Drosophila melanogaster: one gene and its partner. The protein of the gene in region 2 interacts with the protein of the main gene of each other region in a pairwise test. Each region holds a gene or a part of one and is shown on either strand. Other genes may lie near its edges. The genes, in order: Cerk and lbl.

Evidence for each region.
Region 1: the proteins of lbl (region 2) and Cerk interact in a two-hybrid assay, tested with the Drosophila melanogaster proteins (one large-scale study listed by BioGRID).

The regions. Positions count from the first base shown.
Region 1 is NT_033777.3:5,364,998-5,370,068, forward strand, and holds the start of Cerk (ceramide kinase), read right to left. Parts: upstream 3,310-5,071; 5' UTR 2,924-3,309; intron 1-2,923. Other genes in the region: CG31542 (uncharacterized protein), read left to right, coding at 4,595-4,598, 4,658-5,071.
Region 2 is NT_033777.3:21,431,081-21,436,176, forward strand, and holds the start of lbl (ladybird late), read right to left. Parts: upstream 3,054-5,096; 5' UTR 2,888-3,053; coding exon 2,185-2,887; intron 1-2,184.

The DNA of each region.
Region 1 (5,071 bases), about 16 Mb from region 2:
AAGTCTCGGTTAACTTGCAACGTGGGAGTTAGTGGGCCGGATTTTACGTACATATGTATATCAGAGCTCTGAAGGCCTAATCAATACTTTCGTTTATCTATAGACCGAGTTGTTTATAATTTAAATGCCTGTACCATAAACAGAACTAATAGAACTGTGTCCGATTTCTTTTAACTTTGAGCTCGTTGACTCACGCCAACATCTAAGAAGCACATGACAGCAGTAATTATTTAACAAAGCGAAAAAGTCTAGTACATGTAGGTCGATGTGAAGAAGGAAAAGACAGACACATTGCGGAAATGTAAACTAGCGGGTAAATTGATAACCACACAAAAAGTTCGAATGACATGGAGGGGAAATGCTCTAGATATATGTACAGCTGTGTTAAGAAAAATAGCAGTGCTTTGGACTTGAGTGTTTAAGATAAAAAATTCTTATGATTTACAGTTTTAATGGGAAATTTTTTTTTATAATATCATTAGGTATTTAATTTCAAACAATTTAACAAATGTTTCGCTTTTATTTCTTTAATAGTTTCGAAAATATAGATTAAAACAACATAATAGGCAGAAATTCTGGTTTTCAATGAAATAGCAGTGCTATGAAAAAATAGTAACAAAATTCAACTTGACTTAGAACGAACTTAGTCTTTCTTTTTAATATGTTAATTCGGGCCTAATACTTGGCTGGATAGCCTTTGTTAGCCAGCACAGCCTTACACCCACGCGGCATGGAGTCCACCAGGTCCTGGCAACGTTTGGGAGGAATTTTTGCCCATGCATCCTGCACAACTTGCCAAATCTGAGCCTTAGACGTCGGGGACTTCTTCCACACATATTGTTTAATGTCCCCCTACAGGTTTTCAATCGGGCTTAAATCGGAAGATGGTGCTTACCACGGCATTGCATCTATTCCATTTTGGGTGAACCTATTCTTAGCCGATTTGCATCTGCGTTTCGGATCATTATCCTGTTGGAATGTCCATTTTAAGGGCATATTATATTCAGAATATGACAATAAGACATCACTAAGTATATTTACATATGCGTTTTGGTCTATAATACCATAAATCATATGTTATGGACTCATAACCATTGTAAAAAAACAAGCCCATACCAGGATTTTAGGTCCACCGTGATTGAAAGTCTTCAGTGGGTGTTTTGGGTGGTACTCCGTGTTTGGAGGTCGTTAGATATACTGTAGTGAACCACTTCCACCAAATAGCACTATTTTTGACCGATCAGTCTAAAGGATATTACGCCATTTGCAGACTGGCCAGTTTCGGTAGGTTTTAGCGAAGGTAAACCTTGCCTGAATAAGCCTTGGGCTAAGTGGGGGAACCTTTCGTGGACTCCTCGCACTGAAATTTTAACGTCACTGATTCCCAAGTTCAGCTCAGACTTTATGTCCCTAGAGGATGCAAAAGGATAGGCTTTGCTCTAACGAACTGTGCGTCGATCCTCTATCTCTGTGGTTTTACGTTTGGTACCACGGTTTTCGGGCTTCCATTCATATTTAATGGTATTGGATACCATTTTGGCAGCACATTCAAGAGTTTTTTGAATGTCCTTAATGCTTTTCCTTCCTTTCTAAGCTTAAGAATTAACATTCTTTTCTCCTGGGAGCAGTGCTGTCCTCCACCCACTAAAATATAATTTAAAATTTTTTTTTTAATTTTTTGCCCTTTTAAATATACGAATTAACTTAACCAAACTCACTTTTTAGAAAATAATGATCATTTCGGAACTTTACGTTGGTCAAAACCAGGCACTGCTATTCTTATGAACAGCCTAAAAATTGCGATTTTGCTCAAGAATGTAAATAAAAAAAGGATAACAAGAAAAACTAACCGGCTTTTCTTTTTTTTTCCTATCTACACATTCAATTTAACAAAAATAAGTGGAATAAAAAGTCGATTCCGAAAAAGGACATGGAAAAATACCTTTGTATTACTTAGTTTCCTTCGCACTGCTATTTTCTGAACACAGCTGTAGATATGTACGAAATACAAACAAATACGTCAATCTTAAACTCCAGAACTACTGACATTATTAGAATCGTCAACCCCTCCACCATTTATCTCGTTTCACCCTTTTGAGCGTTATTCAATCTTGACCCGCTTTATAGCTGCCAGACATCAGCCCATGTCTGACCTTTTCGACGGTGCACGCACCTCACAGCCAAAATAGCAAAAGCAAAGCTACAAAATATTATAAATAACTTGGGGCAAGTTCCCTTTGACACGTGAGGGGTCATTATTCAGTGCTATAGCGCAGATGGTCTGCTAAGATCAAAGGAAATAGGTACACGAATAGGTTTTCTGCCAATTCCCAGAATACATTGTTATGTTAAAATAAACTATTAGTATATGAGTAAAAATGAAAACAAAGTAGATACTTATTTTTTAGTTGCTATTTACTTGCAATCTATGCTTGGCAGGTCATTAAATTATTATTAATTAAGGTCCCTGAAATCCAATTTAACCCATAGAAGTAGACATTTCTTTCCCAAGGAATAAGTATCGCAGCATCGACATCGATACTTTGCACCACCAAAACAATAACAGTGCACATATACACCGAAGGGTCCCGGTTCGCTTGCTCTAGCCGCAGTGCGTCAGAAGGGTATAGCACCCTGGGAGGGGGGGGGGGGTGGGGTGGTGCAGACAGGGACAGCTGTCATTTCCATACTCCGGGTGCCGTTATCGCAACGCAATACAGCTGTGTAGCACCAACAACTCAGCTGTTGACAAGAACATGTGTGTATACAGGCGTAAGGGTGTGTGCGTGCGTGTGGGGGTATGTGCGTCTGGCTTGAGTTCTCTGCGTTTAATTCCAACTTGGGTGCTCGTGTACCTACTTATTCTCGATCCTAGTCCGTTCTTCCAATTGGAGTGCCAGTGTGAACTGGTTGGGGAACTCACCTGGTGGCCAGGTAGGAACGTTTATCCATACAAACACGGCTGCACTTTCGAAGTCGTTGCGCTGTTTTTCCGTCTGTTTATGGGGAAATCAAGAAAACTCGATACGGATGTGCATTGCAGTTTCGCACACTTGCACTTTTTCGCTTGCACACAAACAAATGCACACACACAATTGGAAAATAGCCGACGTGCAATTGGTGCTAATGGCGTTTCGGCATCTCCCGGTTTCCCGTTTTAGCCACACTTTCCACCCCCTACTCGCTGGAGCACAAAGAATTTACGAGAACACCAGAAATGCACTTCCGTGGCCGTTACAAAAAACACAGGCGGACAAATCGAAGCGAAGTGTACGTCCGCTCGCCAGTGTGACCGTACATATAACTGTGGAAAATACGAGGCAGACCACCTGACTTGATTGAAATACCACATAGTTTGGTCTGGGGTATTCTCAAGTCTGGCGAGAACTAGGGCTACCTTAAAATTAACGGCATCTTCACCCAAAAATAACTGTGCCCGATATTTTTTTTTAAGTTTTCTCACCATTAAATACTACACTACTAATACACTACTCCCCAGGATCAAATCACTCATCCCAGCATCCACATCATCCCAAAACTCTACTGCAGCCGCCAGATAACCAACAACATTAGCTGCGCAGCTTGCAGCAATTGCTCAACGGTCACCAATGACACCGTGTTGGGCGGGAGTCTCCAGCGGGTTACGGTTGGTCCTTGTGTCGATGTGGGGACTCCGGACTTCTTCCAGGTAAAGTAGTTCAGCTATGAGTTCAGTCGGGTTCAAAATTGGTTGGTGGCCAATATAGCCATTTTGTCAATTTGCAGAAGACACAACAACTGCTCAAGGTCATACTCCTAGACTCACGGATAAGATATTCATCCAGGAACCAAAAAAGGAAAAAATAAATTTAAAATGTTAAGAATTATTTTATAATCAATTTTTTTCACTTTTGTTTAAATCCGATTGGCGAAGTGATTGTTACGCGTACATACATTATACATAAATTATCAAGGAATTCTCCTGCATTTAATTTCGAAATTCCTCGGGATTTCCGCTGGAATCTATTTCAATAGGTTGCACTTTAGTAGAATATTACTTTCGTACATTTAATTTTAAAATAGTTTTAAGAGACATCTGATACTAGGTATCTGATAGCCTGGTCATCCTAATTTCGTGTTCGCTTTTGTTATTTTCGTTACTCGAAGAGTGTAAGGTAAATTGAATTATAAGAAAAGTAGGCAAAACTTAGGATAAGCAATAGTTCGGGCATTCGACCAAAGCGTTCTCATGATTTCAGCTTTCTCTTTTTATTATTTGGTAATAGGACATACGACTATACTTTTTTTTTTTTTTTTTTTTGTTAATTCCAAATAAAACTGCAGAAATTTAAACATTAATTGGGCTTAACTAAACCAGTGGAGTCCATAAGTTTATAAGTAATCTAATGGAGTGCTATTGATAATTATTTTCAAACTGTTAATTTATAGATATATTTGGTCATACAAACTTTTTAAAGCGTAAATGAATGCAAAGAACGCAGGGTATACAAAACCCGATTAGAGATCTCGATCCGGAATTGTCAGTTTTGATTTACCAGCTTGTAGGACAGCCTGTAGGGACAATTAATTACACCTAAGCCCTAACTTTCGGAAAATGTGTGAGTATCAAATGGACTGTAGACCGCCACCCGCAGCGCGCTAATCCTTCCGCCAGCAGCGTCTCCGTGTGGCAAGTGCAACAACTGTCCCTGCGGCACCAGCGGCGGAGCCCCACCCCCCCAGCAGCCGCCCCACAGGCCACCCCCCTCGTACGCCCACCAGCCGCAGCAGCAGCCGGACAGCTGTCCCTATCCGGGTCCGCGGGGCCAGGGAGCAGGCGGGTGCCAGGTCAACTCGACGCAGCCGCCGGGCGATCCCGCCGCATGCAGCCTCTACCAGAGCCGGGGAGCCCCCACCGTGGAGTGCACGTGCACTCAGAACCGTAGCCGGCCACCTCCGCCATCCGTTCAGGCGGACCACATCACGTGCAGCCGGGGTCCGCGGGAGCAGCCGCCTGCCCTGGAGACCCGCTGCACCTGTCGCGAGAAGCCCGCCAAGACGGAGTGCCACTGCGCCCCGCCGGTGGCCCCGC
Region 2 (5,096 bases):
GTCAATGTATCTGGTTGCGGTGCGTTTGTGGTTCATGCTCGGCTGCGTCGCAGTCTTTGGGTCTTCTGGTGTTCTGGTCCTCAACTGCCATGGCCGCCGCCTTTTTGTCAAGTGGGAAAAGTTTTAGTAATTAAATTGTAATTAGGGATGCATCCGCCGCTCTGTGCCGTTTGTGCGTTCAATAACGCGGCTGTCTGTGCCAATTGTCTTGGCGTTTCATCAAGCCCACATTTCAGCGGCAGCCACCGACCGTGCTGATCGCCCCACGACCGGGCTTTCTTTGTGCCCAAGTCGCCATCCGTTTGCCGGTATACCCTGTAAGAGGGTAGTTCCCCCAGTAATTATCCACTTTCCATTTTCAATTGGCGGAACCATAGAAATTCTACATACTAACTGAGAAAATGTAAGGAAACCGTTCTACGATCTAAAAGAAAGAAACCCTTCTGGCAACATTCGACTCTGCTGAAACGTGTTAAAGGGTACCCATTCTTCGGTGACGTAATGTGGCAGGTATCTACGCGTAATTGACAAGACCTAACGACAGGTCCATTGTTCAAATAGCTGCAACTTTTCAGCCATTTTCATTGTAATTATTTTGTATGTGCTGCCTGGGCCTCTTTATGGCTTATCTGCCGGCAATCGTCATGAGCGGTGAGCAGGCCCAAGCCCCAAGTGGGGCTACGATGGCGTTGCAATGGGAGTTGTCGCTGCTCCTAATTACCAGGCGGAAGTGTCTCAGATCTTTCCCTCAACTGGCCGGTTACGGCTTTTGATCAGCCGGGCAAATTGCAGGAGGCAGCCGTAGAAAGGGTTCAGTCCATGGCCAACCTCGCGTCTTCTCTTCCACTTCCACACCGGATGCTGTCTTGGGAAAAAGCAATACAATTTTCGCAAACTGCGGCGCTTAAGTGCAGCTCGGCGATAATCATAATCATCCCGGGCGGCACTCAATGCCAGTAGCAGTTGATCAACCGATCAAATCAGCTGGTGCTGATTAGATGGCTCTGTGGCAACCGAACAACCCAACAGCTCAGCAATCCGGCAATGCGGCAATCTAGAGTGGAGCACGAACCAATTGGCTGATGTACGTGCGGCGCGTAAATTCAATTTCAGTAGCTGATGAACAAAAGCGCAGACCATGGGTTCGCTGATGGATTGCTGGTCAGTGCACTCGGAAAAAATATGACAGCCGCTGTGGGAAGATATTTTAATAGACATTCATGGCCAATATTGTTTTACACCGAAAAATGATGGAAATTGATTTGCAGATATAATAAATAAAGAAATGTTCCGTTCAGGATATTTTTAAATACTCTTAGTTAGTTGTTTGTACAATAATTTGTATCAAGGTGATGTGTTTTCCAAACGAAGATATTATGAGGAATAGTTTTCCCAGTGACTCCCGGCAGTTTCTGTTTTTATTCCGAGTGTGGGATAAATCGGTTTGCGTCTGCGACTTAACGAGAAATCAACGCCGCTAAGCAAATTATGCCGAACGATACGCATGCGCCAAAGCCATCAGACATCAGCCATCAGCTGGAGTCTGAGTTCGAGTTGGAGCAGCAGCTCGCCGCAGCTAGAGCATCATCATATGACCGGGCTGGGGCCTTCGAGTGGATCTGGGTATGGGTATGGGACTGGGACTGGGTCTGGGTCTGGGAAAGGCAATTGCCATCAAAGGCGATGCCGAGCGAGCTGCCAGCCGGCTGGCCTGAAATTGATTTAGCCACCTCGGACGAGCAGGCTGACCTCACTACTGTTTTTACGCCTTAAGCAGAATCTCATCAAGACGTAATGACAACAATTGATCAATCGCTGGCCAGGCTAATGGTTATGATGGGTCTCGTTGGGAAATCAGTTTATATTAAAATGTAATTTGATTGCGGTTGTGCACACAGAGGTGAACGCGGAGTAAGTAATTCTACAGTTTGTGGATATTTTTATGTTGAAGATATTCCAATCATATATAACAAAAAGCTCATATACTCAGGGGTGTTGATAAAACTTGAGAAAAAGCTGATGAAATATCTATTATCTCTGCACTATAATTTTGTTTGTACTTTTTTACATATAGTAAATATGAAGAATATGATTTTTGGTTGTCCACTGGGTTCCGCAGTTTAAAAGCAAAGTCTTCTTCTGTTTGGATTTAGAGGAATATATTTTCTCTTGAAAACTACTCACCCTGCTCTTCGTCAAAGTTTTTGGTGGACAGCTGGAAGAGGGCATCCAAGGGAGTGTCTCCACTTGATTTGCTGGCCCCCTTTGGTTGTTCCTCGGGCGACTTCTTAGGAACCTCCATTCTGTCCTCTTGGGAACGTTTTTCCACTTTTTCCGCCTGGGTGGGACTGCAGCATTCGGTGCTGCCATTGCTGCTGCTTGATCGCTGGGAACGCTCTGAACTGCCGTCCTCGGAGGCAATGATCGCGGGATTCAGGGTCATCTGCCGGAGGAGTTGCGCCTGTGCCTGGAAGTGCTCCTGGAGCTGGCGCTGGTAGTCCCAGGCCAGTCGCTGCTCATAGCTGTGGAGCAAAGCGGGCGATAAAAATGTATGTAGTGCAGCCGGCGGAGGGCAATTCGGCACCAAGGGTATTTGCAATCTTTCGTTGATCAGAGCCAATGGAGCAGGTACTCCTGGTAAAGCATTGGGAATGGCAATTCTCTCCGGCTTCTTCTCCACACGATCCTCTTCATGCCCTCGCCCCAGGATATCGGCAATGGAAAAGCTCTTGACCCTGACGGGTGATGACTTTTGGCGGTCATGTTCCAGGCTAATAGGACTCCTCAAAAGCCGCAATCGTTTCATATTCAACGATCTCAGAGGCGGTGGACTGGGCGAACCCACCGAAACATCAGAGTTAGCGGGACTGGGAGTTCTTTGCGGCATCTCTAGGTGTATTTTCCTTTGGCCACTCAGCACATCCTGGCTGTATCCTTACGGCTTAGCTCCAAACTCTTTTCTACGGGCGATTAAAAACGCGTCGGCAAAACGCGCGGCTGTCACACGAAAAACGTCGGCACAACGTGCAACACAAACACCAACAACGAAAATGGCTCGTGGCCAGAATGCGATGCTAATGCTGCTCGGCTCTCTGTCTCTCTTTCTTGGCCAAGCTCTCTCAACTGCTTTTTGGGGCCTCCAAACTGGTTGGCACCCATGACGTCACGGACTCGCGCAGCTGCGCAGCTTGTCTAATTGGAAACGCCGCCTCGCTCTCGCCAAGGGGGCGTGCCAGCAGAAAAGAGAGAGATGGAGAGAGGGAGAGCTAACCAGAGGACCAATAGCAGTTGGTCGAGGGCCATACAGACCCCCTCACCCGACCAAAAGTCGCTGTCAACGTGCGAACGTCATTAATTTGTACAATTTGACATGCGCTCTCTTTCCTCCCTCTCTCTCTCTCTCTCATTCTCGCTCTCTCTCTGGGGCGGCACTATTTCCCTCTCTTTCCCGTCGCTTTCCAGGCGACTGACTGCGTTAATTATCGTAATTGTTGGCTCACCCGCTTTTTCGCAGCTCTCTTTTGGCCCACTCAATTGTCATCAATAATGATGTCTCGTTGTACCGTTGGCTTCGACTCCTCATCTATTTTCCACTGGAAAAACAAGCCTCTTCGAATCCGTGTTTCGAGACCTCTGATGCACTGGGAAAAACAGTTCCCCGAACTGACAATCCTTCGTTCAAGAACGTCTTTTTGAAAGAGGTTTATTTGTCATAAATAGATGTGCCTATGAAAAATATTATAGTAATGTAAAAATGTCTTTCTCCCTCAAACTTCCTCAACATAAATTAAAAAGCGAACGAATTCTGCACCTCAAAAGTAATAACCTATAAATGGCACAACATGACAGTTACTTTGCTCTTCACATTTATTACTTGTTAACTTGAGATCGTTGTTAGATCTAATAACTAGCTGCATCTTGTTAGTTAGTTAGTTTCTCTACACACAATTTATGATTATATTATTTTATATTTTCCCATTTATATTTCCATTTGTTTAAGTGCATTTTGCTGGCACACATTCGTTTGTCTTGCCACTTCCCTCGCTTCCCACTCCACAGCTCAACTCAATGCATTTCCAAATTGATTGCAACTTTGGTCCGCTCGTTGTATCACGTATGCGCCCTGTATGCGCCTCGCTTCGTTTGTTTGTCAGTGTCAGTTTTTTATTCAATTTCGCTCCGCTGTTTGTCCTGGTTTTCTTTTTTATTTCTCGCTTTTCCTTGAATTTTGCATGCAAATGTCTATTTAACTGCATTGCGCCCTTTGCCGGTGGGAATGTGACTGAAGAGTCGGCTAAGTGAAATGATGTAACTGGCGAGCCGTAATCGATAATGGGTTCTACACTGCCCTTTGAAAACGAGTATAATTGATTATTTCGAGATGGGAAAAGAAATCAGGGGAAGTGGCAATTTCAACAAATTTGTGTTTGTATCTGTTTATTAAAGCGCGGAGCATCAATTACCAATGATTATTGGGCTCATCAAGGGCTTACAACAAATTGGACTTTTACACTACATAGTATGGGCAAATTAGCTTTTAATGTTTAACGTATAAAATTACAAAATAATAACTTGATCCAGCAAAAGTACACAGGTACCCAGCTGACAAAATGAGTAGCACAGTATGTTAATATAAAATCCAGTTTATTCAGTCTCTTGAAAGGGTGTTGTTTAGATGTATTTTACCCGAACCCTACATCGCAATTTATGACGCTGAATTTGCATAAGGGCCCTTCTCCAATCCCTTCGACTGCCCCCTATTTTGGTGGCAAGATGGCCGCGATGTTTGATTAATGCCTACACTTGACTGACTAAAGTTGACGAGCCAGGGCATTCTCTCCTTTCGCTTGCCTTGGAAGTGAGAAATTGACGGGGCTTGGGAACATTCGCTATCGCTATTGCCTTCATATTCAAAATCAATTATAAAACGACTCTTAATTGGGCGCCTCAATAGACGAGACACGCCCTGTCAATCATAATTAGCCATCGCCCCTAGGAAGCGAACCACTCGAGCCGGCACTCAAATCCATTCCCATTCAACCGATCCGACACGCCTCTAATTCTGCAAATTCATAAGCCAAATGTATCGGCTCTAT